Linked DNA regions of Danio rerio. The protein of the gene in region 6 binds, or shares a complex with, the protein of the main gene of each other region. Links are inferred from orthologs where the notes say so. Each region holds a gene or a part of one and is shown on either strand. Other genes may lie near its edges. The genes, in order: sf3b4, sf3b6, sf3a1, dek, rbm17, sf3b1 and ddx42.

What was found.
Region 1: sf3b1 (region 6) and sf3b4 share a complex: the UniProt entries of both Homo sapiens proteins name them as parts of the SF3B subcomplex of the 17S U2 SnRNP complex. The link is inferred for Danio rerio from reciprocal best matches to the Homo sapiens genes SF3B1 and SF3B4.
Region 2: the proteins of sf3b1 (region 6) and sf3b6 are in contact, whole or in part, in a crystal structure (PDB 2F9J), measured with the Homo sapiens proteins. The link is inferred for Danio rerio from reciprocal best matches to the Homo sapiens genes SF3B1 and SF3B6. Residues at the interface, in NP_036565.2 of Homo sapiens: Trp388, Ile392, Arg395, Asn396, Arg397, Pro398, Leu399, Ser400, Asp401, Glu402, Glu403, Leu404, Asp405, Ala406, Met407, Phe408, Pro409, Glu410, Gly411, Tyr412, Lys413, Val414, Leu415; in NP_057131.1 of Homo sapiens: Arg12, Leu13, Pro14, Pro15, Glu16, Val17, Arg19, Ile20, Ala32, Met35, Tyr36, Arg46, Gln47, Ile48, Arg49, Val50, Gly51, Asn52, Thr53, Thr56, Thr59, Ala60, Tyr61, Val63, Glu65, Asp66, Ile67, Phe68, Tyr92, Ala97.
Region 3: sf3b1 (region 6) and sf3a1 share a complex: the UniProt entries of both Homo sapiens proteins name them as parts of the 17S U2 SnRNP complex. The link is inferred for Danio rerio from reciprocal best matches to the Homo sapiens genes SF3B1 and SF3A1.
Region 4: sf3b1 (region 6) and dek share a complex: the UniProt entries of both Homo sapiens proteins name them as parts of the B-WICH complex. The link is inferred for Danio rerio from reciprocal best matches to the Homo sapiens genes SF3B1 and DEK.
Region 5: the proteins of sf3b1 (region 6) and rbm17 are in contact, whole or in part, in a crystal structure (PDB 2PEH), measured with the Homo sapiens proteins. The link is inferred for Danio rerio from reciprocal best matches to the Homo sapiens genes SF3B1 and RBM17. Residues at the interface, in NP_036565.2 of Homo sapiens: Arg334, Ser336, Arg337, Trp338, Asp339, Glu340, Thr341, Pro342; in NP_001139019.1 of Homo sapiens: Leu309, Met312, Val313, Asp319, Asp321, Leu322, Glu325, Thr326, Glu329, Leu372, Arg375, Tyr376, Phe377, Gly378, Gly379, Val382.
Region 7: the proteins of sf3b1 (region 6) and ddx42 are in contact, whole or in part, in a cryo-EM structure (PDB 7EVN), measured with the Homo sapiens proteins. The link is inferred for Danio rerio from reciprocal best matches to the Homo sapiens genes SF3B1 and DDX42. Residues at the interface, in NP_036565.2 of Homo sapiens: Pro509, Pro510, Lys513, Arg517, Thr520, Asp557, Arg558, Tyr561, Lys562, Asp565, Leu566, Arg568, Pro569, Ile583, Ala607, Ile610, Ser611, Arg614, Glu622, Arg625, Asn626, Arg630, Pro646, Phe647, Ala650, Val651, Lys653, Ser654, Lys655, Lys656; in NP_031398.2 of Homo sapiens: Asn68, Glu71, Glu72, Tyr75, Phe76, Glu77, Asp78, Glu79, Glu80, Glu81, Asp114, Pro115, Leu116, Glu117, Phe119, Met120, Val123, Ala127, Asp130, Met131, Arg133, Leu134, Gly146, Ile147, Arg148, Ile151, Glu152, Glu153, Glu154, Asp155.

The regions. Positions count from the first base shown.
Region 1 is NC_133194.1:8,478,778-8,483,240, reverse strand, and holds the start of sf3b4 (splicing factor 3B subunit 4), read right to left. Parts: upstream 3,062-4,463; 5' UTR 3,034-3,061; coding exon 3,000-3,033; intron 2,660-2,999; coding exon 2,531-2,659; intron 850-2,530; coding exon 307-849; intron 1-306. UniProt on the Homo sapiens protein: Component of the 17S U2 SnRNP complex of the spliceosome, a large ribonucleoprotein complex that removes introns from transcribed pre-mRNAs.
Region 2 is NC_133195.1:38,721,955-38,726,290, reverse strand, and holds the start of sf3b6 (splicing factor 3B subunit 6), read right to left. Parts: upstream 2,993-4,336; 5' UTR 2,846-2,992; coding exon 2,816-2,845; intron 1,948-2,815; coding exon 1,829-1,947; intron 1-1,828.
Region 3 is NC_133183.1:43,422,557-43,426,949, reverse strand, and holds the start of sf3a1 (splicing factor 3A subunit 1), read right to left. Parts: upstream 3,107-4,393; 5' UTR 3,089-3,106; exon of another isoform or gene 3,085-3,088; intron 2,965-3,084; 5' UTR 2,922-2,964; coding exon 2,874-2,921; intron 1,492-2,873; coding exon 1,382-1,491; intron 1,290-1,381; coding exon 1,097-1,289; intron 936-1,096; coding exon 678-935; intron 1-677. UniProt on the Homo sapiens protein: Component of the 17S U2 SnRNP complex of the spliceosome, a large ribonucleoprotein complex that removes introns from transcribed pre-mRNAs.
Region 4 is NC_133191.1:45,446,415-45,449,777, reverse strand, and holds the end of dek (protein DEK), read right to left. Parts: intron 3,030-3,363; coding exon 2,918-3,029; intron 2,835-2,917; coding exon of another isoform or gene 2,823-2,834; coding exon 2,677-2,822; intron 1,908-2,676; coding exon 1,839-1,907; intron 1,754-1,838; coding exon 1,742-1,753; 3' UTR 663-1,741; downstream 1-662. UniProt on the Homo sapiens protein: Involved in chromatin organization.
Region 5 is NC_133179.1:26,166,144-26,170,649, reverse strand, and holds the start of rbm17 (splicing factor 45), read left to right. Parts: upstream 1-1,375; 5' UTR 1,376-1,459; intron 1,460-1,788; 5' UTR 1,789-1,812; coding exon 1,813-1,935; intron 1,936-4,061; coding exon 4,062-4,178; intron 4,179-4,506. UniProt on the Homo sapiens protein: Splice factor that binds to the single-stranded 3'AG at the exon/intron border and promotes its utilization in the second catalytic step. Involved in the regulation of alternative splicing and the utilization of cryptic splice sites.
Region 6 is NC_133184.1:33,850,434-33,854,326, reverse strand, and holds part of sf3b1 (splicing factor 3B subunit 1), read left to right. Parts: intron 1-1,164; exon of another isoform or gene 1,165-1,222; intron 1,223-1,770; exon of another isoform or gene 1,771-1,825; intron 1,826-2,123; coding exon 2,124-2,203; intron 2,204-2,299; coding exon 2,300-2,485; intron 2,486-2,972; coding exon 2,973-3,222; intron 3,223-3,306; coding exon 3,307-3,519; intron 3,520-3,614; coding exon 3,615-3,736; intron 3,737-3,841; coding exon 3,842-3,893. UniProt on the Homo sapiens protein: Component of the 17S U2 SnRNP complex of the spliceosome, a large ribonucleoprotein complex that removes introns from transcribed pre-mRNAs.
Region 7 is NC_133178.1:30,673,800-30,677,692, forward strand, and holds part of ddx42 (ATP-dependent RNA helicase DDX42), read right to left. Parts: coding exon 3,766-3,893; intron 3,677-3,765; coding exon 3,548-3,676; intron 3,444-3,547; coding exon 3,344-3,443; intron 2,103-3,343; coding exon 2,055-2,102; intron 1,803-2,054; coding exon 1,705-1,802; intron 1,622-1,704; coding exon 1,345-1,621; intron 1,259-1,344; coding exon 1,032-1,258; intron 927-1,031; coding exon 816-926; intron 1-815. UniProt on the Homo sapiens protein: ATP-dependent RNA helicase that binds to partially double-stranded RNAs (dsRNAs) in order to unwind RNA secondary structures. Unwinding is promoted in the presence of single-strand binding proteins.

The DNA.
Region 1 (4,463 bases), on a different chromosome or scaffold from region 6:
TAAATTACCACCTATGTGTGGCATTTGAAATGCAGCGTCTATAGGGCAGGACAGTAAATTTGATGTTGTTCTATTTTCTGTCTGTCGTTATCAGTCTCACATTATTTTCTTTTCTTTCTTGAAAGTCTTGATAACACCATAGTGAAGTTTTTCTTTTACTATTTCAGCAAACAGGATTGTGAATAAAAAATATTTGTTGTACTCTCCCATTCACTTCACTCTAAATTTATCCAACTCTGACGACTTTGAACCTGGAAATGTGAAAAACATTTGCAACATGTCATTAAGATGTTTCTCATCTCTAACCTGGAATAGGCATGGCTGCTCCGAGGGCAGTCATGACAGGCGTGGGCATGCTTGGAGGAGGTGGAGCATCTGCGAAAAGCTGATGTGGGCGATCGGCCTGGGACAGTGGATTCTGTGCGGCAAGGAGACGCTCGGCTGCTGACCCATGTCTTTCACCCTTTGAGTCTTTCTTAAACGCGTATGAAACAGTGATGGGCCGATTACACAGATACTGGCCATTCATAGCCTCGATAGCCGCATCTGACGCATCAAAACTGGCAAAGTTGATGAAGGCGTAACCCTTCGAGTTGCCCGTATCGGGGTCTCGCATGATCTTGGGGGTCTGAAGGATCACACCGAAAGCGCTGAATGTGTCATAAAGTAATTTCTCGTCGATCTCAGGGTCCAAGTTGCCAATGAAGATGTTGGCACCAACGTCGAGGTTCTTGTTGTGCGCTGAAGCTTTGTTGACTCGTATGGGCTTGCCGTAAAGTTTGATCATATTCATTATTTTTATGGCGTAGTCCGCATCTTCTTCGCTGAGAAACTCCACAAAGCCATAACCTGAAGAAGAGAGAGCGATACCAGTTTTTGAAGTGATCCTATTAGGTTGTTAAAAGTTCCTAATTTTGTTTTACATGCAGGGCTCAACAATAAGGACTGCCCGGTGGCCCGGGGCCAGCTTGAAAGGCGCTCGGGACAGTAGACAGGATTGTTACTGGCCCCTATCGCACGTTATTTTTTTCGTAACCTGGTCACAACAAGTACATCGAAAACATGGCAAAATGGCAGCAACATCAAACGATGAGGCTAAAAGAAAATGTCTGTTTCTAAAGTATTGGAAGCAGACAATACATGTGTACAAAATTAAGAAACTGGAGAGAGAAAAAAAAAAGGTTGTCAGTTTGGCAAGCCATTTTTATAAAAATAATTTAGAGTTGCAATAAAATACCAGCTTTTTTTTCCATACTGCTCTTTCGTTGGCATAAAATCTTGAATTTTGCTCATTATACATTTATTACCATTTTTGAAATGTTTAAATTCTATTATTATTTAAAATATGTGGCTAAGACATAACTATTAACTTTTTGTTGTTTTTGGTGGGGGCAGTGAAAATCTCAACCACTGGCCCGATCGGCCCAGTAGACAAAATCCTTGCCGTTGAACCCTGACATGCATTCAATGTTAAAATACACTTTAATTTCTTAATACAATACATAAGAATTACTCAAATATGATTTGAGTATTGAGTACTAATTTGACTACATTTACAATATTAGGCAATGTTGATTTATCAATCAATCAATCAAATTATTTATATAGCACATTTTTACAATCAGAAGGCTGCTCAAAGTGCTTTACAGTCTTAAAAACAAAAAATAAGTTAAATTTAATGTACACCGTCCCTTGTTGTGAAATATAATAAGATAAAAATCAATATCAATTCTCTGTAGGATAGATTTGATAACACACAGGCAGTTTTTGATTGAGGTAAAGAAGGTTTTACATTCGCAAATTTATTCATTTTAACGGTTACTATATAGTTTACCACACTACTTTCAATATTCAGTCTAAATTTGCATGCAAGTATTACACTACAAACAACATTACACTATTTAATTGTCTGTGAACAGTGTTGTAGTCATCGGCTGCTAATATGGTTTCACTGTTTAGAATTTAAATATAATATTTTTCTGAAATTATATAGTTAAGGAGAAAGTCAGAATGTGCAAATATAAAACCAATTATACCTCAATCAGTTTTTGTGGACTTCCAAGTCTGCAGCCTATGAATGCAAAAGTAAGTGTGCAGAATTGCAGTTGTAACAAACAAACACAAGATTTGGGTAAAAAAAAATTATACAATAAATAATAAAAAGTACAAATAAAAACAAAATCAGTACTTATAACTGGGGTTTTGTTCAACAATGTCAACAACACAAACAAACGTAAGATTGAGCAAAACTAGATATTTAGCAGCCACTGGCTGGTATTATGCAAACTTGTTAGGAACACAGTTCCTGTATTGTTTACCACGCTACTTTGAATATATGGTCTAAAATATAATGCAACTATTTCATTGTCTGTGAACAATATTGAACTTTGATAGTCTTTGACTGCTAATGTCATTTTCCTTCTTATAATTTGCAAAGAATACTTTTGCTAAATTATATTAAGAGGAAAGACCGAATGAGGGAGTATAAAAGCAACTTTACCCCAATGGATTTAAAGACGTGGTAACTCACCCTGGTGTTGTCCTGTTACTCTGTCTTTGGGCATGTGTGTGTTTACAACAGGACCAGCTTGAAGGAAAAGCTCCCACAAAAGAGGCTCAGAGACCTTCTCATCGAGACCACCCACATATACAGTGGCATCTGCAGATAAAAGATGATCAATATAAATGACAACACTGAACACAAACATAGTATTTTATTTAACGTTAGATGCATTATTTATATACAATTTATTAATTCCGATAATAATAAGCATATTGAAATATGCATGATTGTTTTGTTACACTTCATTAAAACCAAAACTCAAACGTTTCTTTGTTTTTATTTGTTAAGCCAACATGTTTGAATGAATGAAAATGAGCGATTTGACTGTATCATAGAACATAGGAAGAACTTAAGGTGTTCAATAATGCTGCAATCCATCACTTACCCCGAACACTACATAACAATTTCACTAAAAAGTTAAATTTATCAAATATACCTTGATTTCGTTCTGAAATCGGTCCCGCCGCCATGATGAACCCCGGCGTGTGTACAGACGGAAGCAGTTCTTTTTGCTGAAATCACCTCAACATCGTCTTGTCATCGCAGTGCTGCCGCCCACAGGAGAGGAAGATGAACATTGCCGATTTTGTGGATGTCAAATTATGATTTACTACGTCCTTTGTCTGTTTTTGTTCGGAAGTTACTTAATATGTCTTTTATGTTGTTAAAGGTCATAAAATGGAGCCACAGCTGTGCTAAGCCAGGACCCAGTCAGACTGTCTAATGGACAGATCTGTGGCGACGAAACAAACAGTAGGCTACCGCATGGTTTTTATCACATAAGTAACAATTAATTAAATATGCAAGTTAATATTATCACGAGCTGTATAAAGTACTCAAATGACCTACCATACTTAAGTGGAAGTAGAAATACACAAACTGCTTGTTCAAGCTGAAGCAACACAATTCTTGTGATTTGTGGGGGCAACTTAATTGTTTTATGTTTAAACCAATTAAATTTGTTGAGACAATGAACAAATTGTGTGGAATTTTTTACAGTGTACTAACAAAGTAAAAAAGTGAGGTAAAAAAGTACAAATTAAAGTTTTTAATTAATGGTTAAAAACAAATAAGACTTAAAATGGCACACAAGTGGATAGACTTTATAAGAATGTATTAAAAATAAATTTTGGGTGAGCTAAGTTACCTCAGTATACTTTTAGATTTGATGATGAAAGAAGTTTCTTTTAGATAAGTAATAACATACGCTGAAATGTGTGCTGTTAACATACAAACTTTTAAATTTATCAATAAGCTATATGCACAGCTAGTTTTTTTTAGCCAATGATAAACTTCTAGCGAAAGCTTTATAAAAGCTTTAATTTCATAAGGTTTCTTTTACAGCATCGATGTTGTAATATAATTACAATACATTCAGTTAAATATTTGGTTGGTAAAGCATAAAAACCGTTTAAATGCAGGCGCCGTCATTAGCAGCGAGTAAGCGCAAAAACTTTAAAAAAAATACTGAGGAAAAATTAATTTCCATATTTTAATGACATGGTGTGGAAAAATAGTCTATAAATTAATGCAGTGTTTTTATGCTAGGTCTGATACCCACTATATATCGCATCTCAGCCAGGCAGTGAAGATTGCTGTTATTTAAAGAAATCAGATCTTAAACGCTGCAATTTAGTTTGGGATGACAATTAACCGGAAGCAATGGGGCTGACTGACTGAAATTAAAAGTTTGTGTGCATATACCCCATTGTGTGTAAGATGGAGGAAAAAACAACAGTGAAGCAATTACTTTTCAAAGTGAAATAAAATGATAGGCATTATAAAATTAATGGTTTTCTTCAAATCAAGCACAAGCACTCAATATAAATTACATTTTTGTCATTTAAAAACGTTTCCCAAAAATTAAACTAAAGTACATTAATTTAAGGTGGCATGGTGG
Region 2 (4,336 bases), on a different chromosome or scaffold from region 6:
GCCCAAATATTCAAAGTAGAGTGGTAAAAAATATAGAGACCATATCACAAGTTTTCACTGAATGATCGCGTGAATATCAAAACTAGAGCTGCGCGATATTTGGAAAAAAAAAACTGACATTGCAATATTTTTATTCACTGCTATATATATATATATACAATTTCAGCAGACGACTAGCTTGTAAAGATTAGGATGATTCTGCAGGGGAGTGTATCTGTATAAAGTATTATATTAAAATGACTAGCATAGTTAAATACAATGGACAAAAGATGCAAATAAACAAAGATTTATAATTTTATGGGCAGTCAAACAGTATTCAGTAATCAATCTATAATAATCATAATAATAATAATGATCATAATAATAATAGCATTGTGTCATTTAATTGCATACAAATGAATAATTAACCTTTAAGCTACAAACGTTTAATTTATTGTGCCCAAATGTTTAGGTTTGTTTGAAATTATTACAGTTAGGTCTTAAAATCACTGGCAAATAATAATGAATCCACTAGGCTTCGGATGACAACTATTTTCAAGTTATACCGCAGTTTGGAAAAGTCAAGGTTTTAAAACCGCCAAATTTTTCTGTAATACCATTTTTTTTTTTTTTTTTGTTTTGAAAACAGTAGAAGTCAATGATTCATTTGAATTATTTAGCCTGATGTTTACTTTTCCAAAAGAATTTAAATCTCTCAAAATAAAATCTATTGTGTTCAAAGGGGAAAAAAGTTTTTGTTTTTTTACCCAGACATTTAAAAAGAATATTTTAGAGCAGTAATCACAATATCATGATACAGTGATATTTTTATTCAAGGTTATCATACCATCAGAATCTTATACTGGCCCATACCTAGACTCCACTATGTTGTTAACTGTAATGTCTTGTCAACTATAATCTCGACTACATTGCAGATCCCTGTGATGTGATTGTGGACACACACATTGCGATATAGATGCTGAAACGATATATTGTGCCCTAATCAAAATCTAATTCACTTCAATTGATTTCCCTATTAACAATTTGCAGAGTAGTTTTCTGTACTTATATTCAGAAAGAGGAGAAAGTCAGAAAGTGCAAATATAAAACTTTACCACAATGATAAAACGTATACAGTGTTTCCTCTAGGTTTTTTCCACCTGTGGCAGCATGCCTTTTTTTTACACAGATAACCTGTGGCATTATTTCAATGACAAACGTCGTGAGTGCAGTATTAGAAGTCGAGATTGCATTTATGTGATAGCCTACAGCATACGAATCTCATTGCTTGTGCACTGATTTCCTCTGCTCGTGCACAAAACTTCTTAAACGCCCTTCAAATATAAGCCGCATCAAGAGCTTGCAGATCTTCTTGTGCACTTTCAAATAAATGCTGCTGAAGAGCGATTTATTGAGTTTATGTAACGAGTATATCTCCAGCATTTATTAGACTTGCTAGGAATATTTATGAATGTGTCCAATAGACCTACAGAGCCGTATTAATGCGTCCTGAAGTAAAGTGAAACAGCTATACGTCGTGTTTGCTGGCCTCACGCACCTGTCAGTCAGTCAGCCTGTAACCTTGAAGGGTTAAACAAATGACGCACATCACTACTACGGTTACAGAAATGTTCACGCTGTTATAATTAACTTACCCTTTAATAAGTTTTGGTGTGATTATCACCCGCTATTAAAAAAATAAAATGTTTTGAATGAGAAGCGGTAATGTAGCCTTGGCAGGATGAATTTTGGCATGACGCCCCGCCATGGAAGAATGAATGTAGCGGAAACCATGGCATAAACCCTTTGTGTGAAAGTATGTTAATGCAAGAAACAGACTGATACTCACACTCTGATTTGACGAATAGGCCCATACTTTCCAAAAATGTCATACATCTCCTCTGCAGTGATCTTGTAAGGAAGGTTACGGATATATAATATCCGGTTCACCTCAGGAGGTAAACGAATCTGAAAAGATGCCAACAAAGAACAGTGTTGAGACAGACCAGGATTTCTGTAGGTTTCTTCAAGTGTAATTTAAAACTTTAAGACCTTTAAGATTGATTTTTTTTTACTTTTACAGGGTTAAACACTAAGAATTATTTTCTAATGACCCAGATACTTCTGTAAATAGTTTATCTGTTAATAATTAAAGATCATGTAAAAGAATGTTTTGCTTCAGTTCTCTTTCCCAGATTAGGGAATTTAATTTAGAGAATTTGCTGTAAAATGTCTGCTGTTGTGAATTGCACCTCTTTGCAGTAAAAAAATAATAAAAAAATAAAAATATAAAACCAAAAGTTGACATGGTAATTTGGTGTTGAATTAATTGGGTAGATCTTTTTATTATTTAAGACCTACAACAAAATATTTCAGTGAATTTATGACTTTTTAACGCAAAACGTAAAATTTTTACTTTTGAAATTTACGACATTTAAAGACCCTGCGGATACCCTGCAGACAAACGTAAATACACGTTTTCTTATTGTTAATTCACAAAGATTTAAGATTTTGAACACCCTCGTGGCTTTAAAAAAACATTTAAGAATGAAAGAGATTTCGTGAATGAATATATGTACACAATTGGGTACGTTTTGATCACGTTTGTACACCCAGCGAACGTATTACACGATATATTACATATCGGGGAATACATTTTACCATATATTATAACATTAACATTTAATATTACATTAACAACTTATCTTAGCTATTCACATTTATAATAGAAAAACAACAAACAGCGATCTTGTATGTCGGGATTAGCCGTCGAAGGGCTAACTTAACACTGTCAACAATACGAACATTTGAACGATTAAAACAAAATTGAACTTACATTCGCTCGTTTAGCCGCTTGCATCGCCATGGCTGGATTTATTTAAAGGAAACTTTTCGAGAAAAACTCTCTTACTGTGGAAATAAAAAGCAAGCTAGCACAAGCTCAAAATCTACGCACTTTGGATCGTTTGACGGCGCAGTGTGATGACGTCTTTCCGGGAAATCCAATGGCCATGTTCCTTTGAGATGACGTCAAGCTCATATTTTTTTATTCTATGCTTAATAAAATTCAAAATTGACAAGTAAACTGTACCATCTTGATGTTTTTTGCCTTAATTTTGATTGAATTGTATTCTACTGGCTGTTCTTTATTTATCTATTCTCTTCTTGTAATTATATGGATTGTTCATATGAAAAAAAAAATAAATAAGAAATAAAAACCATTAATGATTTAAAAATCATTTATGATGGTGGATTTGTTCCCATGATTGGCCATTTATTAAATGATTTTCATGATTTATGTAACGATTTCTAATTATTCTTTGGCCAAATTTCACATTAAACCCTATAAATTCAATTATTAACAGTTTAGTTTTTAAATTCCATATATTCATATTCAACGTACAGCAAAAATTCATTAAAACCTGTAATGAAGGTTAATATATGTTTTAATTATTATACTTAATAATACTTTAATTATTATACTTTTATATTATACTTACCAATGCTTACCTTGTTTACCTTACAATAAGTAAAAAAACTTATCAGGAAAAAAATCCATTAAACACTTTGGTGTAATAAGAACTACGTTACATTATAGGAACCATTTTTGGGAAATATTTAGTTGAACTGTAATTTGTGTGTTTGTTTGTTTTTATTATTTAATAATTTATCTTTGTCACATTTAGAGGGTGGGTTTTTGACATATACTGAAGTGAGCCACCAGGTGGCGATCAATGATTGGACATTAAAACTTTACGAGTTCAGCTCTCTGCTGCCATCTAACTGAAGACTTTTGTTATGAATGATATAGGGCATTCCAGTTGTGCAGTTCATTGGCGTTTTTTGCCAGTTATTTTCTAGGGCTAGACTAGAAAATTGATAAATATTAATTAAAAAGTTGATTAAATGCTTGAAGTGTTGATTAATTAAAAAGTTGATTAATGCTTGGAGTATGGATAGAAATATTCAACACATATAAAGAAAATTACAGTTAAACAGCAGAGGTAGATTCAGGAGCATAGTTATCCAGTATGAGACAAAATATTTAACAATACTCCAGTCTACAGACTGGTCAAAAACTTACAACTCAGGATTTATGGCAGCAAAAACAACATGATTTATGAGAATGACGAAAACTGGAGATTTTAGTAGATTACAGAGATCACGATTTTTACAGTTTTACAGATTTCAGTTGCAAAATAATAATAATGATAAAATTAACACAAGTTATATTTTTATGAATACCTCCTCAAGAGGTGAATGAGGTGCAGAGAAAGGATTGACCGAATAGGCCTGGAAAGTTAGCTAAGAAATGTTATGCTCCTTTGTAAAAGTATTTTCAAAATGCTACTGTTCT
Region 3 (4,393 bases), on a different chromosome or scaffold from region 6:
ATTTAATGTCACACTTGAATAACCTGTATTTGTAACCTGTATTTTGCATTTGGGGGTTTCACATTTGCAATTGATTTTCAGGGAAAAAGTATTTGTTTGTGTGATATTACCGAACTACAATATATCTTAGGACTGGTCAATTAATCTAAAGTAAATCCCAAACATCATTTAGCAAAGCTACATTTGTCATGCACATATTGTCAGAAAAGCACAGCATGATCAGCAATAAATCTCCTCTAAATGCCAGAGGCTGCTCTTACAGAAACTAAAAGAAATCCAAAGAGTATTGTGTTAAAAAGGAAACTTTAACTGCTTTCGCTAATTCAGACTAATTAATAAAGACACAACTACAGATTCATCAAGTGTTGCAAGTTTTGTGTAGCTTTATAGTGAATTATGTGTGGCAAATGCTGCTCCAGCTGAATGTAGCTTACTTTACTTTTATTGCTTTATTGACAAAATGTGCATGGAAATCACCAATTTTTTCCCCAGCCCTAATGTATCTTCTAAATGCTTTCACAAATGGAATAATTGTTTTAATAATTTTTTTGCTAATTTATTGAGCTTGCATTTTTTTAAACATTAATCAAAAATATTATTAGAGGAAAAAATACTGAACATCTCTAATCTCTTTGCAAACCAATAAGCCCTCAGCATTTCTAAAAAGTATAATTTACCTTTGTATACTGCTCCACTAGTTTTGTGAAGTAGTTGAACAGACTGTGCTGTGGCCGGAGAAAGTCAAACTGGTAGTTCCTCTGTTCCTTCTGCATCAGCTGTGTGAGAAACTGACGGCCATTACGGGCAACAAACTGTGCGGTCAGTTTCACCACATCCAGGTCAAAGGCTGAGATGGAGGGAGGGTCAGCAATGAACTCAAACTCAGGTGGAGGCTCTTTTGGCACCACCGTCTCATGGATCACCTGTGCTTGGACCTAAATAATCACAAAACATAAGCTCTTTATAACATAGAAAGCTATTAAAATTTTTTATATCTGTCTGCTGGATTATGGCTTGATTTTAACTATTATAAAACTATCTGTCTACATCTATAATATTGATAATATTTATATAAAGCCACAGAGAAGTTGCTGACCTTCTGAGGAAGCTGCTGAGGATGCTGCATGACTTTAGGAACGGCTGCGGATGGTTCCTGAGCTTTGCCCTCCTTGAACTCATTGACCTTGTGTCGGTAGTAGGCATGGTATGGGTCGCTCGGGTTGAGGAAGTTGAACTTTGGGTTGTTGATCTCATTCTGTCGAATTCTGGCCTCAAACTCGGGTCCATTCCTTTGACAAAATAAATGGAATTAATTATTGATTTAATAAAAGTACACAAATGAAATACTGCACTACATGATATATGTGGTAGGATGTCAAACCTGGCTACGAAGCTGGCAGTCTTGTCAACGATGTTTCGCACTTCAGGAGGAGGGTAGATGATTCCCACTATGGGCTTTGTGGCTGGAGTTTCTTCTTTCGGTTCTTCGGGCTGTTGATTAAAACATCTCATAGCTTATTTAATATGAGCAAAATAATACAGAAAACACAAACAAAAATCACAGAATACAGTCATAAATATGGAATTAATTATACAATGTCATTAAATGTTACAAGCTTTGAATTAATACATTAAAACTAATCATGTCCTTAAAATGAAGTTGTGATGTGTACTATTGTGTGAGAATTTTAAGACCACTAAAATATAAGTTAAATACAAAGTCTATATTTATGAGGCGTGTTTCTGAATGAATGCCACAGTTTCATTTACTACACAAATATTGAAGCATGGGTGATGCTTGTGGTGTCAATCTCAGAAACTTTACCATGTTATGTGAGAATACCATATCAGATAAACAGAAAAAAATCAAGCGAATTGGATTTACTGCAGCCAAAAGTGTTTCTATTGTACAACAGAATACACTTCTCACTGTAAATGGTCCTTAAAATTATTACTTTTTATTATAATTGCACAACTGTCCTTTCTCATTTCACAACATCAATAAAACAGAATCTGATAATAAACTGAAATTTATATTACAAACTAATTAGTTTTTACAATAAATATCAATAAATTTACATTCAATTCAAACACCCCTAATTTTTAAATATTATTTGTATATAGAATTTGCATATTCATTTTTAATTTAAGAATCAAAACAATATATGTATATTTATAAACTAACAAGTAATTTGTGTATTTATATTTTTTTCATTATAAAGAAAAATAAGAATAATTATTCAATTAACATCTGAAGAATATTTTGATGACATTAGAAAAACATTTAAAGATCACATTGCAGCCCCCAAAATAAGCAAATGAAATATTTCAAATTTAACTATCTATTATCCAAATTTTTACTTAAAGAAAAAACAATAAAATGCAGAAGGATCATTTACTTATTTTAATAAGTACATGTAAGTTTACTTTTGTTGTTGTTGTCATTTTTTACAAAAGTATATATATTTTTAGATCTTAATTTTTATTAACCTTTTTTTCTAAACAATAAAGTAGACACTACTACGTTATCTTTTAAAATGGTTGTCTTTGACCACATCGATTTTGGGAAATAAAACAGTACATTTACATAATATATATTTTTATATTATATTATATTTATACTAATAATAAAACAACATTATGCTGGGAATATATACAACAATGACTGCTACAAAAGATAACAAAACAGATAACATATACATTAAAGTTTAACTTTAAACAAGTAATGCTTCTACTCAAAACAATAAATTATAAAATTGCAATAATGCCCAGTATTATACTTATGAAAGACGAAAAATGTAAGCAGATGAATATAAATCGGATAAACCTACCCATCGTGTCTATGAAAGTAATAAATTCTGAAAGCTTCATACCTTGTTATTCAGCTCCGGCTGCATGATCTGCACAGGCCCAGGCGGCATGACTGCGACACTACTGGCTCTTCTCGGACCGATTCAAACGTTACTGTGTAAAATGAAAGATTATTTGAAGCTAAAGACTCAACCGTTATAAAATAATGAACACTGAAAGTCGCAAGAATGGCTAAAGTTATACAAATTATGAAGGCAGTTTTACATAACTCACTTACCTCTCGTTAGCCAGCAGCCACACACACAACACAAAACGGACAACCAATGAAATTCTTCTTCTTCTTATGGGGTTAATGGCGGTTGGCAGACCAACTTAAATGGTGCATTTCCGCCACCTACTGGATAGGAGTGTGGAGCGCATAATGTTGGAAAAAGCATGAGTACTAAAGATATATGATACGAATGGAGGGATGAGATTACCATAGGGAAGAGAGAACAGTAATAACAGTAGGAGGAGAGGAGAGAAAGAAAGAAAAAAAATACTAGTTAAAAATCATAGTAAATTTTATTTCCTTATTTTGCTAAGCTATTCTTAAATTCTATTAATCAATTTTGTTTCCTTTAAGTAATTAATTAATTGCATTATTATTTCAACTTGATTTGAACTGTTTCCTAATAGGGTCTGAAATGACAAATTTTTAATCCCATAAATACTTAATCCTTGAACTAACTGATATCTCTGATTGTCATATGCCACACATTCTGTAATTACATGTTCTAATGTTTCTATTTTCCCGCATTTATCACAACATCCTGTCTCGTGCTTCCCTATTCTGAACTTATACTGGTTTAGCAAACAATGACCAGCACGCAACCTAGTTATTACCACATCATTCCTTCTATTACTAAACTTATTTCTAGTACCACCCACACATCCTTGAATATTATGCATATGTCTGCCTTTTTCTCCATTATCCCACTCCCTTTGCCACATTCTACCTGTTTCTTTTGCAATTATGTTTTTTACCTCTGACTTACTTATTTTTATTTTTATTTCTATCTGAGTATGTTGTAATGCTTCCTTTGCAAGTTGGTCTGCCTCTTCATTACCTACTACTCCCATATGACCAGGAATCCACAAGAAGCTTACAAAAAGTCCACCCTGTCTGATTCTGAATAAATTTTGCATTATCTCATTCATTATGTCCTGTCTTGCCTTAGATGTTCCAGTAATTAAGTTGTTTAGTACTGACAGAGAATCGGAGCATATTACTGATCTTAATGGTTTCACGTCTTCTATCCACTGAAGAGCAAGAAGTATAGCTACAATTTCTGTAGTGTACACAGAAAGTCGGTCCGTTATTCTTTTTGATATTTTAATATTGAATTTTGGGATGTAAACTACTACTGCCGTTTTTTCATCTTTAGGATCTTTTGACCCATCTGTATATATCTGTAAATAATTGAAATATGACTGATTTATGTATTGTTGTATTTCTTTTTCATTTAACATATTATTTTTGTGTTTTTCCTCATGTAGTAATAAATCGACTACTGGTTTATGGAAAAGCCAAGGCGGAATC
Region 4 (3,363 bases), on a different chromosome or scaffold from region 6:
TAAATTAAATGACACAAATGTATTAAATGGAATAAGAGATGCAAGTCATAAGTTTGATAGTGATAGCATTATAAAAGGCAGTTAATGTAAATTAAACGTTTAGATAGAACATGTATTTTGTGTAGTGAAAAGGATATTTTGTGATTGTTTATTGTACACAAATGAAAATATGCTGAAATGTTTGAAAAAGTGCACTTTTGATGAAATAAGTACTAAGAGCTGATGTACCAATTGATTCTAATAAATGCACCACACCCCTCAAAAAACCTGTACAAAATGTACTTATTGGAAAAAAAATTATACTAAGACAGCTGGACATTAAAGGTGCAGGTAAAATCTAACGCTAAACACTTAAAGAATGTAGAATTTTTGTTCTGCATCATAAAATTAAGACTAAATTGTGGAAGCGTGACTTAATTAGTTTAAAAATCTTTTAAATATAAGCTATCGTTATAAAATGCTTTTCTAAGTAAAATCAAGATGTGTTTGTCTTCCCACAATGAGTGTTGTTTATATGGTACTTGTTTTTAAAAGTCATTATGTCAAAATTATAGCTAAAAACCTGTAGTAAAAATATCACAAATACACCTTAAGTGGCAAAAACAAACACAGCCATCCAGGTAAAACAACATCAAGAACAAAAATACAGACAGCTTATATATTATGAAAAATCTATTTATTACAAAATAAACACGTTTTCATTTCTGTTTTGATGTTTTTGTGACAGACTATCATTGAGTATTATGACTGATAATAATTGATAACTGGTTACTGAGGTCAGTGTTTACAACAGATCAAATCTGGTCTTACTATGGGACCTAAACTACATTTCTGACCTGCTGATATGAATGTGTAACATCACAGAATTATGATTTGTTTGCTTCGTATGACTTGATTTAAGACACAAGCAAGTAAAATACACTTAAAGAGCATATTTACAAAGAAAAAAAAAACTTAAAGCTTTTTGCTTTTAACACATTAGCATTAAAATACCAAATTCTTCTATTATGCCACGAGTGTCCAAACTCAGTCCTGGAGATCCGGTGTCCTGCAGAGTTTAGCGCCAACCCTAATCAAACACACCTGAAGCAGATAATCAAGCTCTTACTGGATATGCTAAAAACTTCCTGTCAGATGTGTTGAAGCATGTTGGAGCTAAAATCTGCAGGACATCGACCCTTCAGGAATGAGTTTGGACACTACTATTATGCAAAGCACTGAGATGTAAACCAACACTGCACAACATAAGATGTTGAAACCAAAAACCAGACAGATTTAATCTAAATTACCTTGTTTTTGCAATCGACATTCAAACCTTCAAAACTGAAACCAGCGTTAATAATGGATAAAATCAATCCATAAAATGAACACTTTCTAAAACATGCCTGCAGTATCTTAGCATCAACAAATTCATGCTAATCATACTGCAGGCTTTTCTAGCACAAACAAACTGTGAATTTCTGGTCAAAATAAAATATGGTTAAGTTTGTATGGCCACGTGCCATATAAATTATGAAACTAAAATTACTTTAAAAATGTGGCATATTTCAACAACCAAAATCCACATCATTTGCTGTCAATTGTCAAAACTCTAACTTTAAAAGACTCTTTAAAATACAAAAAAGCTGAACTTGTATAAAATAAACATAAAACTACAGAACAGTGAACAGTGCAATGAATATTCATCCACCAACTTCACTCTAGTCGACTTTTTTAAATAAGGCATTTTCTTCTCATCACTTCAGGATATCATCTGAAAAGCAAGAACATTAGCCATGTTAAAACTGACTATTATACAAATGAATATTAAAATAAATGAGCATTTTGAATGCACTTACATTTTTAACAGTCTCACGAATAAATTCCTTTCTGCTGCTCAGATCGAAGTCAGGATACTTGTCATAAACCTACAACAAAGAGAAAGTTTATAAATCATAACAGCATTTGAAAAGACTTCAACTTGTCAAACTTTAACGAAATATCATCTATATCCTGTGATGACTATAGATGACAGTGATAAACAGACTAAATGCATGCAATAAATTAGTCCTCTAATTCAGTGGTTCCAAAAGTGGAGGTCGGGACAACCTGGGGTCAGACGCGGGACAATATAGGTGGGGTCGCTTGGAAATTCACAAAAATCGAATTCATTTTATTAAACTATTAGAACTACTATATTTTATCCATAACTAGCTGAAGAACAAAATAGTAGTTTATAGTACCATTGTTAGCATGGTAATAATAACCATTAAAAACAACATGAAAATAAAAAGCCATAAGCCTTTCAATATTTTTTGTAATCCTTGTGGTGATTATTGTTATATTATAGACATAGGAATAGCGTCAGATGCAACACATTGATTTCACGTGCAATCACGTACATTATAAAAATAAATAAATGACACAACTTAACATGGAGGATGGTCTTGGGGTGGCGCTCTCCAAAATTAAACGACGAATAGACTTGGGCATATTGGTTGTGTGCACCATTGTGTGCTGGTTTTATATATGTAAAACCACCTCAGAGAATACTGGGGGTTGCAAGCCACTGGAATTGTTATTTTAGGGGTCGTGGGCTGAAAAGTTTGGGAACCCCTGGTCTAGTTAGTTAAACTGCAATACAGATCATAACCCTTTAAAGTAAGCTTCTGTCCCAATAAAGGTGAAATAACATACTTGTCGGGTTATCTGCTTCATTGTAACCTCCTCCAGGTTTGCGTCTTTCAGGAGGTCTTTTACGTTCTCCTTCAACTGCTCATCTGTTGGTGGTTTTTTGATCATTTTGATCAAAGGTTGATCGTCATCAGAGCTTTCGCTTTCATCTAGAAGCAGAACTACAGCATATTAATCTCTACACACTGCAAAACACAATATTTACCATTTCTATTAAACATTTATAATATGACCGCATTAATACCTTTTCTCTTGCTTGCAGTCTTTTTCTTTCGGTTGCTGCTGCTGTCTGCTTTCTTAGTTTTCGGGACAGGCTTTGCTGGAGCTTTTCTCTTTGCTGCAGGCTTCTTTTTTGTCTAGGAATATTGAGATGAAAATTGTTAGTTTAAATGCAATTTCTGCTGAAAGGATTTTTGTATTGTCGGATCTGTGGCTGCAGTTATAAAGTTGTACTCGTTTCTTACAGTGCCATAAATGTAATAGTTTTGAATTCTTTCAAAACTGTAACAATTTGCTTTCATATGGCTCGTTTTCACTGACTGGTACTGTACGGTAAGATTCGGGTCGGAATGGATCACCTTTATCAGGCTTGCGTTTCCACTACCAAGGGTACCCTTTTGGTGGGCGTGGTGTTTGACAAAGTTTCAGTCAACGTCATTTTCACTTGAGAAAATGTCGACAGTAAAGCCG
Region 5 (4,506 bases), on a different chromosome or scaffold from region 6:
ATACCGTCTATACATTTTATTTTATTCTATTTGTAATTGGAAATACAAAATATAAATACAACAAAATTACATTAAACCCTACAAATTATGTATCAGATGCGGAAGGCTTAACACCAGAACGCCATATTAGGTCCAGAAAAAAGAATATACCAAAAAAAAAAAATAAAATACAAAGAGTGTAAACTTACAAAAATCATCCTAACTAAAAATGAACAAATGAACGAACAAAACAACAATATAGTACAGATATCATCTATACCAAGTTAAATAATATAAATAATTAAAAACATTTAAGGCGGTTTTTGTTTTCATTTTAGCCAGGACATCCAAAAATTGTTTAGTTCTTCTAAAAAACCAAAAGTAGTGGAGGGGTTTTGAAATATTTGCATTTATGAATATAATAGTTTTCTAATATAATAACAATATTTATCAATGATAATATAGTATTTGTGTAAAAAAGAACCATCTTTCATAATTTCACATCTCACATCAGTACATCTTGTAATGTGGTAGTCAAACCTTCAGCATCCACATTCTTGCATTTAATTATCTTTTTTATTGAACATTCAACAAGAATACAAAAATATACAGAAAAGGTATCAATTCTTTAACAACAAAAATAGACAACAGAACAAAACAAAAAGAGAAACAAAAGATTCTGCCAGGGGTAATATAAACAACAAAAATCTATCTTAAAGCAAGGTCACAGTGATGTATAAAAGGTCACATACAATACAGTCTGCTGGGTATTATAGAAAAGAGACAATACTGTAAGATTCACATAGTGTTATTAATTTTAAAGCTTTAACATTGCTGGAAGTAGAGATTGTATTCAAATAATACTTCAAATCTTTACAAAAAATAAGAAAAAACATTTGCACTTGTGTATGAAAAGATTTGCTAGTGAAAGAAATAGATTTATTAGAAAATCTTTATTTTTATTTATTTATTTTTTATTGAATACAAGAATAATAACATTGAAGAAAAAAATACAATAGCAAAAAAAGAAATGAGAAATAAGAAAAAAAAAACTTTACAAAGCCTCGATCATTAAGAAAAAATATAAACTTTAAGAATTTTTCAAGTAATAACCATGCTCTCTTCCATTGAATGCAGTCAGAAAAATTGATTTAGAAAACTGTACATCTTGGGGAGGTATATAGCCTACAGAGTTATGTAACAATCGTCTGACATGTCTGTTGGCACAATTTTTTTTTTTTTTTTTTTTTTGATAAAAAAAAGACACTCCGTCCAAAAAATGTTTAGGCATAATTGTTTTCCTCTCATTAAAGTAAAGAAACATTATTAGAAAATCTTAAATACTTTGATATCGCTGCCATTCTGACGTGAATACCTTTGGCTATGCGTAGTGTGACGTCATATGTTCGCGACGTCTCCATTGTAGCATGTTACGCTAACCAAGAGTGCATAACTTGTAGAGGATTTATTTTCGTGAAAGGTGTGTATCTTATGTCAAATATTCAACTATTAAAGTGTATGCGCTGTTACAAGATGAGGCAGCAACCATTTGTTTATTAAAAGCAGTAAATATTGCTAGCGGTCTACGTTATATGTGAATGCTAAACGTAGCTCATACATATTACTTATTATAAGGACCATTATTAATCCTATATAGCTTATTTAAAGTTAAATGTTTGTTTTCTGTTTTTTATGTCTAATCTATAGTTTATGTGATAATCTAGCATTTTCTGTTCTAGCTTTTATAACATGGTTGGCTGATTACTGTTTGGATTACGTTTATGATGCATGTATTATTATGATTTTCAGTGTTTTTAGTGGAAAGGAGGAGAAATGTCTTTATATGATGATTTGGGGGTCGCAACGAGCGACGCAAAAACAGAAGGATGGTCTAAAAACTTCAAACTGCTTCAGTCTCAACTGAAAGTGAAGAAAGCTGCACTGACACAAGCAAAGGTTGGTCAATGTTTAATTCTTGATAAAACTGTTTTATTAGTAAATATTTTTATTAATAAATGAAAAATGTATGTATTAATTGCAACTACATTAAATCTGAATATATCAGGGAATTTGAAATTAGTTAGTTATTTAGGTATTTTAGTCTGTGTCAATGATTTTGTTTACAGTTGTGAATTGAGAGAAAGTTGGTTTTATATTCACACATTCAGACTTTCTTAATAATATAATTTCAGAAAAGCATTCTTTGCTAATTCTAAATGGTGAAATCATATTAGCAGCCAGTGACTATCAAAGTACAACATCGTTCAGAGTCAAATAAGCGGTGCTAATGTTATTTTTGAATCATACTTACATGTGATTCCAGACCAAATATTTAAAGTGCCATGGTAAACTAAATAAGGAGCATTCTCATAAGTAGTTAATGGATCATAAATCTTATGGTACGGATCAAACTAAACTTAGAACCTGTAATTGCAATAAAAATACAATTCAAGAAAGAAATATCTGAAAAAAAGGAAAATATTTAATAAAATGATCTGATAATGCTAAATATAGAAATCAACATCTTGTACAACATATCGCATTTACAACGTATGGTAATTAATGATTCAACAATTCACATGTAAAACTTCATGTTTGGTTATAAGTGCATCATTTTTGAAACCCTATATTCAGTGACATAATTTTGATGGTTGTTTGTCGTTACACAATGTAATTGCTACAACATTCACCAGTGCCAAGTTCCATTGAATGGTGATTTAAATCTTTACCAGAAACATCGGTGTTTATGTCTGTACTAGAAACTGTTCTCCCAGCACTTCTGTGTTATTAAATTGTTTGTAACTAGTTGAAAAAGTGTAAAAACTGATTCTCTCTGATCTGATCAAACACAGATTTTAATGCAACGCTTCGAAGGATTAATGAACATATGCAGATCATTATCATTTAATATTCATGTTGCGCGGGTTTGAATTGAGGTCACGATCTTTTAATGTTGAATTGTGCAGCTTTACACTGAATGCTTTAATGCAGGCTAAACAAATAGTGACAGAAAACACTTCTTAAGAAACTAACACTAACCTAAGAAAACATTTAGTCCCACCACTTGTTCCGTCATCACTATATTTTACAGGGAACCCAAAATGCTTTCATACACGTGATTTGAATGTTACGGGAGGCAATCTCTCTGCAATTGTTATAAATATTGGATTAACCTACAAGTTTAAAAAAGTTATTAATCTGTGGGTCATGTGCATACCGTACTGTGGGTTGTGATCCGTAAGGATCCGTTACACCCCTTGTCACAAGTCATCACTGAACGAGTGAGTATGAAACCAACTTTACCTCTATACAGTTGTGTATGTAATTGTAAATCCTTGTTTCTTAATGATCTTTTTTGTCTGTTTATTTTACTGTTATCATTTTCTCATTTCCAAATCAAACTGCACCAAATTGGGTAAAATGTGTCATTTAAAATTTTAAAGTTCAAAATTCCACTCACATTTCTCTTTATAAATTTGTTTTAAACTAGGTGAAATAAAACAGGACAAAATAAATCACAAAAATGTTCCCATTGAAACTCATTTAAACTTTACAATTATATCCCTTTGACATTTAAGCAAAATGTCATACATTCTTTGTTTCATATTTTGACTTCAAAATTCTAAACATTTATTTAAATATATTTAAAAATATATTTTGCTATTTAATTAAATAATTTTAAAAAATTAAGATGTATAGTATTTTGCACATATTTTGGCATATTTTTCAGCTTTGAAGCTTTCTTACTTTCTTTCTTTCTTTTTTTCCTTATTTGTTTCTTTCTCTTTCAGCTTTGTTGAGTAAACGAAATTACAATTATGTGATTATATTCGTGTGGATATGTTTGTATTGTGTTTTTTTTTTACCTTATAATGTTACAAATATATTTTAAAAGGAATCATGAAATTGATTTATGATTTATGAAATGTTTGAACAGTTAGCATTTTATTTGACTGATAGTTTTGTCATCTAATGACATGTTTACTTTTTGTTTTAATTTCTGCACAAGGATTAATTAAGACAAGTGAAACCAATAGGTGTTATAACCGAAAAGTTTTATTGACAAATGACTTGTTTTGCAGACCCAGAGGACGAGACAGTCCAATGTTCTTGCTCCAGTTATTGATCTGAAGAGGGGAAGTGGAGGGGATGACAGACAGATCTCTGATACTCCTCCGCACATTGCTGCAGGGATGAAGGTAAACCGTGTCTAGATCCTATTTAGGAAAAATAGAGTATATAAAAATAAGTATAAGTAGTAGTAAGATTGCTACTAATTAAAATTATTTAAAAAATCTAATATTACTATGGGAAAGCATTTAAGCAGAATTTAATAATGACGACAGTAATCAATGCATTACATGAAATAAATTAAATCACACTGGTTTTAATTTGGTAATTAATTTTTACATCAAGATCCACAACAGCAATGCACTAAACACTAAGAAATCTGCCGTTTGAGTTTTTTTTATTGATAACGTTCTCAAAATGATTCATGTTCACACTGATTGGCTAAAATGACACAAT
Region 6 (3,893 bases):
AAAGATTTACTGTATATCTGTTTATACATTAAATCATTTTAAAGGAAGCGGCTTTACAGTATTAAACGTGACAAACAACAGTGCCAGTGTTGCAACTTCAAACGAACTTAAGATTTTATTCGAAAGTAGTTTTGAGTTCTTTGTTCTTCAATTTCATTTAAGCAATATCAGGGCCTTAAAGGGATAGTTCACGCCAAAATGAAAACTTTCTTACTATTTACTCACCCTCAAGAGGTTTCAAAGATTTTTTTTCTCTAGAACACACAAGATGATATTTTGAAGAAAGCTGAGAATCTGTAACCATTGACTTCCATAGTTGGAAAAACAAACACTATGTAAGTCAAGGGTTGCAGGTTTCTAATGTTTTTCAAAATAAAGGTTTGAAACAAGTCATTCAAAACATAATTTTTGGGTGAAATATCCCTTTTAAGACTGTCTCAGTAAGGCATAAGTGGATAAATGAAATGTACTGAAAAATATTGATGATGGATTTATATGTGTACTTGTTTAAGTTGGGCAGCAAAGATTTTGGGAGACGGTTGGGTGGTGTCATTGGTCCCATCATGGCATAGGTTGCAGGTAGGTGTGTTGTTCGAAGGGTTAATGTTTTTAATGTGTGAAACAGATGATACAGTAGTCAGGCAACTTAAACACAGACACTGTGTAGTATATGAAAAGTTTCTAATTGCCAGAGACAGCATACTGTCAGATTTATTTTTCCCCCCATACTATTGCCTGCATATTTTTCAATGGTTAGACACCCCTGATGTGTCAATGTCAGTAATGATTCCCAATAAGAGTGGAGCTTTAAAGCCCTGTGAAGCCAAATTTAACTCCATTTATGTTGTCCAGATAATTTAGTATCTTAAAACCGATGGCCTGTGGGTGCTCATACCAGTACAATTTTACAAGAAGTTTAGATCATGTTTAAACAGGCTGCACACTCACAAAACTGACTCACTTGGGACCAAATTATGGGAGGGCAATAATTCTGGATCAGGCAAATCATCTTGCATGTAGTCCCAGACAGAGGAAGCTTTACAAAAACTGTTGTGTAAATATATTTCTATTTTATAATGATAAAATAGAGATATATCTATTGAAGAATCTGTGTACCAAGATTCCACAGGCCCATACTAACTGTCCTTAATTTCTCTCCTACAGCAGTACTGCTATGCCAGTCCTGTCTGCACTCTCTTAAGGGTGCAGCAACTCGTCCTGTGTAGGTTATGGTCAACAAAAAGAAGCGTGTTTATCAGATAAATCAAGACCATAGTTAGTAGTTTTTGCTCTGATGTGAGGCCAGAGAGCCTTTCGGGGGAATGCACCATGATTTCATCAAGCTATTTTATTGATTTAGTTTTACTTTTGTTATGTTTCACATTATTTTTAAAGCCTCATCGGGGACTTTTTTTAAATTCCATATTCACTTTTTTCATTTCAACTTACTTTTAGACAAATTCATCTTAGTTTAAATTTTATTTAATCTAACCAGATGCACACAAGTGTGCTTTAAGTCATTGATTAGTTTCTGATATTTTGTTTCTTTTCTGATTTGATTAGAACTCCCCAATGTGTTCAGTGTCTTTGACTGTAACACCTATAGTTTATTAAATGTATATGATTTTTAAGTCGGTTTTTGAATACTACATGGTTTTCCCCTTTTCTTGTTTGTAAATGAGTGACGAGCAGAATAGGTGGTATGCTATTTTGTGTGTGAGTACAAACCCTTTTCCAAAGTGTTACTAATGGTAAAGAGAAATTTTCTAGGCTTCTTTTCTGCCGGTTGAAGTCTGACTGCAGAGGGACCCTTGGCACTGAAAGTGTACGTATTCTGGAGAGCACAGCCCAGGACCCTGCATCAGTGATGGCTATATCCTCTCCTTATCTCCTCTTAAAAGCAACAGAAACCTCTTTGTACCTGCCTGTTCTTAATGTTTGACTGTAATGAGTGCTTAGCTTTTATTGCATAGGGTTCTTTTGTGTTATGAGAGGACAGTAATTTAAACATTAAAGGCCATCTATTCAGGGACACTTGACTGTAGTGCTTTGTGTGTGAAAATGCTGGTTTTGAGATGCACTTGGCTGACCGTTTCGCATCTTGTTGGTGCTCTTTCGCCTAGGGGGTAAAACACCGGATCCCAAGGTGCAGGTCAGGACGTACATGGATGTTATGAAGGAGCAGCAACTTTCCAAAGAAGAGGTAAGTTCTAGCACTTTGGTGAAATGTCTGTAAGATGCTACTGAAAAAAAAAAGTCACAAGTGTCTTAAACTGTCACTGTTTCTCTTGGTTTACAGAGAGAGATCAGACTACAGATGGTAGAGAAAGCAAAAGCTGGAGAGCTGAAAGCAGTGAATGGCTCCGCTGCATCTCAGGCCGCGGCCAAACGTAAACGTCGCTGGGACCAGACTGCTGATCAAACCCCCAGCAACTCAACACCCAAAAAAGTGTCCAGTTGGGACCAAGCAGACGGAGGTTCTGAAGTGAGTCGATAACAACATTTGGTCTGCAGCAAATGGATATTTTGATTGTTCAGATTTTCATGAAAAATAATTACAAATTCATACAAAGACAGATTTTATGTATCTGATCTGCTTGGAAGACTATGAAAAAGTCAATATTTAAGTAGATGCTGATATACAAAAAAGTAAATGTGTAAATATCCTATAATACAAAAAAAAAACTATTGCTTTTTATTTGTGTAGTATAATTCGAAATTATAGTATAATTCAAAAAGTTGTTTAGGAAAAGTCTTGAGGACCCTACGGGACCCATGTTCTCCAGTGAGGAAAACTATTGTTTAGGGGTGAATTTCTCTAGTAAAGTAATGATCAGGCCCCTTTGGATGTTTGTAGAATCCCCCTAATTTGTCTGTGTCCTCCTGATTAAGAGCCATGGATTAGAAATAAAGCATTACAATGCCACTTAAGAATTTTTATAATGCTGTGAGATTTTTATTTTGTTACTTAGACACCAGGACACACACCAGGGCACACACCCTCCAACAGTCGTTGGGATGAGACCCCTGGCCGTCCCAAAGGTAGTGAAACCCCAGGAGCCACTCCTAGCACTCGTATGTGGGAACCCACACCTAGCCACACCCCAGCAGGAGCTGCCACACCAGGCCGAGACACACCTGGACATGCTACGCCAGGCCATGGAGGGGCCACTTCCAGTGTGCGCAAGAACCGCTGGGATGAGACACCAAAGACAGAGAGAGGTCTTTAATAGTTTTTTTTTGTCTAGTTTGATGTGTAATCTGCAAATAGAGTGGTTTTTAAACCCTTTGTTTTGTCCGTTTCAGAAACACCTGGTCATGGCAGTGGCTGGGCTGAAACCCCACGTACAGACAGAGGAGACGAGTCGGTGGGTGAGACGCCCACTCCAGGTGCAAGCAAGAGGAAGTCAAGATGGGATGAAACACCAGCCAGCCAAATGGGCTCTTCAACTCCCCTGCTCACCCCTGGAAAAACCCCTCTGGGTACACCTGCTATGAATATGGCCACGCCCACTCCAGGTACATGACCAGTGCTGTTGTTTAGCTTAGTTTAGTTTGTAATTTAAATAATTGTTGTTTTGTGGAAGTTGCTTTAAAGGTTTAAATGTTTGCAGGTCACCTGATGAGCATGACTCCAGAACAGCTGCAGGCTTGGCGGTGGGAGCGGGAGATTGATGAAAGGAACCGTCCATTGACTGATGAGGAACTTGATGCAATGTTTCCAGAGGGATACAAAGTATGTGTTATAAAAGTATCATATTATGAAAATCTACAGAGCACATTTGAACTGGATGTACTGAAATTGTGTGTCTGACTGGATTTATTTTGTGTGCTCCGCTAGGTTCTGCCCCCTCCAGCAGGCTATGTGCCCATCCGTACCCCTGCACGTAAAT
Region 7 (3,893 bases), on a different chromosome or scaffold from region 6:
AGTAATATGAATAATGTATAGTTTTGTACATTATATTTATCTTTTAAAAAATAGCTTACATTAGCAAATAAAACACAAGGTAGGCCTGCTGGGCAAAACGGAATGTCCCTCAGACAGTTTCAGTAGCTGTCATTCATTCATTCGTTCTCACTTTACTCAAGGTCTTGATCTCTTTTTCGTCTCTTGTTTATCCTCATAGCATCCATGCGGGATAAAAGAACGGCATCTTAACTTCGTCTTTCGTATAACGGAATTTCCATTTAATGTATAGTAAATCAGACTCATTCAAAGTAGCGTCGCTGCACAAAAAAAAAAAAACATTATGAATGCATGATACACTTTTGACTGTATTGTGTTCTTTTTTTTTTTATAAAATGCAGAGTTTTGAGGTAAAGGAATATTTTCATTTGCCATTCACTGACAAGCTCATCCAGTTCATCAAACTACATGTTTTAAAATCGAAATCGGAAGCGGAGTAAAACAGTCTCGTCATAAAAGCCGGCTTATCAGCGTGCTGTTACACTGAAAACATATAATTCGATTCGCGCCTTCTGATTGGTTCTTGGGACAAAGCTGCTTTTGCTGTCAAATGCAAGTGGTGTTTAGAGGCTTTTGCCAACAAATTGTTATTTCTGAATGGGCTGACGCTGGGATTAAGATGATTTGAAACTAAAATACTTGTTGAATATGTACAGTGTGCCTAATGCATTCTCTCAATGTCATTAGCTCATTTTGGTTGAATTGGCGTTTAGCCGCTTTTGCACCTGAACTCTTCATATTTTTTCAAATAAAACCAAAATAAATCTCAAACTAACAGAGCATTCCGATCCAAGGCCAGGTCTCTCTCTATAGCCCAAGCCTCCACCTCCAATATTAATCTTCTTCCCTTTTCCTCCCTTAAAGCGAGATTTCCTGAACCAGGGATTCTACGAGGAAAAAAAACATTAAAAGCAAAGTTAAAAATGTATTCATTCAGCAATTATTTAAAAGCAAAATCAATGAAACATGCATTGTGAAAGGTGTTGAATTACCTGCATAGCCAGGTCTAACAGATCTTTTGAAACACTCTGATTGGCTCCCTCTAAATTACGAACCAGGTCACCGGCAAATGAAGTGTCTTTAGTGGTGAGCAATGTATAAGCTACACCTTTTTCTCCAGCACGACCTGTTCTACCAATTCGATGTGTATGTGTGTCAATGTCCCGGGCTACATCATAGTTGACAACAGTGCGAATAGATGGAATATCCAACCCACGAGCTATGAAGTAAAAAACAACAACTTTATTTTGGCAGTGACAACGAGAAACAGTTGAAGATTGATTGCAAAATATAAGTTCCACTAACCAGCAACATCGGTCGCCACCAATACAGGCAGATTCTTCTTTTTAAAGTCTGCTATGACTTTGTTCCTCTCACTCTGATCCATGTCTCCATGAAGCAGACCCAGGCTATATCCTTCCTGAATTAAATTTGTTGCCAGCTCCTCACAGTTAGCCTTTTTAGTAACAAACACCAGCACTGAGCCAGCGGATGTGAACTCCACCAGTCTGCGGGTCAGCCAACCCCATTTGTCCTGGCCAGACTGCAGCACCTCCACTATCTGAGTGATGTCTTCATTAGCCTGAGAGGATGAAATATATGGGTTAGGTGAACACCTACAAATATGCGGTACACAAATGTTTGTGCAAGAAATAAGGGGTGCACCTCTCCTATGTCTCCCTGCACCACACGAATGGGGTCGACCAAAATATCTCGTGCTAGTTTTTCGATTTTCTTCCGGAAAGTTGCACTGAATAACAGAGCTGTGGGAGATCAGTGGTCATAAAGATTTTTGTGTACATTAAAGCTAGTACAAAAAAGATAAGTCGAGGTAAAGTCAAAAATGAGCATTAAAGATGTAAAACACACTATAATATATGTGTGTGTGTGTGTGTGTGTGTGTGTGTGTGTGTGTGTGTGTGTGTGTGTATATATACAGGTTTAGCTATACTTGTGAGGGCCCATTTGTACTCATATAGTGAGACATTAAAATGACGAATGTGAAAAAGACTTACTTTGTCGATCAGGTCGAACATGGCTGGCAATGGATCTCACTTGGTATTCTGTTAAATACAAATAAAATGATACAATTATAAATTTCTTAGGGCAAAGGCATTTACAAAAAACTACATACACATAGTAAGTATTTTAGATGCACCTAACTTGTCTAGTACTTTGTCATTAAGAACAATATCTAGGTCAATATTATTTTAATACATACAAACCTATACTTATAAAAAATAAATATTAATGCTCATACTTAATGTAATTATATTTTACATTATTCAAAACTTGAGATTTATAGTATAGTGTTAATAAAGTATAATATTTAGGCCCAATGCCAATTCTACTTCTTAGCAATTCCCTTTAGCAAGTCCCAATTCTCTTTAGCGTAAAGGCATAGGGCTAAAGGAAAGGCTAGATAGCCCTTGAAACTTGTATTTTTCAGAACTCAAAACCACGGGGTATGAAAATTTCCCAGAATACAAAAAGCAATGCAGCACATGAAAGAAACGAGATGCACAAATTAGTATTTTTTGTCAGTATTAAGAATTTTTACAACAATTAAGCACATTTTAATAAATTCATAACGGTTTGTTGTGGTTTGCCATCATGCTTTATAAGAAAAACAATTAAAAATATATTTTTAGCGCAAAATATCTATATCAACAGAAATAGATTAAAATATCAATATTTAATCTATATAAAGTGGCTGGTAATGAGCTTTTTACAGTGTCTGGTATGATGTTAATGTACTTCTCGTATAGATTAATATGTTACGGTGTGAATACACAGTACAGTTACGATCTTATAATGTCTTCCACATTATATTGATTTGACAACATGATATCGTTGTCTTTTGTTATTTCCTAAAGATAAATACCAAAAAATAACACAAATGGAATAACTACGGCAGTCGTGATGATATATGATGACGTGTGCTGGTGTTGTAGTGCTGTCCCATTTTATAGGGGTAAAACTTGAAGCCCTTTCCCTTCACACTCCGTTTCAAGGGCCAAGGGGAAAGGGGTAAAAAATACAATGGGATTGGGCCTTCAAATAAACACCTTAATATGATATGAACCTAAAAACATCATTAAATAAATCTCATTTTAAATATGCCTGAAAATAAATTCTGGTATATAAACTATTGATACATTGAATAACAAATTACTGACTGTGTTCTGTAAATCATAACATGACAATGTTTTGGTTTAGGTGACCTATCATATAACAAAACTAACTTCTAAAATGACTGATACAATATTAAAGAGACAAAACAAATACTGCATTTCACACATACCAAAGCCCATATCAAACATGCGATCAGCTTCATCAAATACTAGAAAGGTCACTCGCTGCAGAGACGTAGCTTTCTTTTTTACATGATCGATCAGACGGCCCTATGCGAGAAATGTGAACATTAAAAACATTTGCTTAAACAAACCCCTTAATTAAACACAAGTGAATACAAATAGGGGTTTATTAAATTATTACAAATTCTTACTGGGGTGCAGACAACAATTTCAGCTCCTTCCTGTAGGGCTTTGGCTTGTTCCCACATGCTGCCACCTCCATATACTGCCACTGAGCGGAGGCCGTATGCTTTCCCGAAGCGCTTGCATTCAGCATGAATCTGAAATACACAGGAAAGTCATACATTTCCAAAATACAGAACAAAAATGAATAGCACCAAGACTATTCCATAAGAAAAACAATTCTGACCTGTTGACAGAGCTCTCTAGTGGGGCAGACGATCACAGCAATGGGCCCTTCTCCCGGCTCCAGCTCCTTCTGGTCCATAATGTGCACCAGAATTGGCCAAATGAAAGCTGCCGTCTTTCCACTACCGG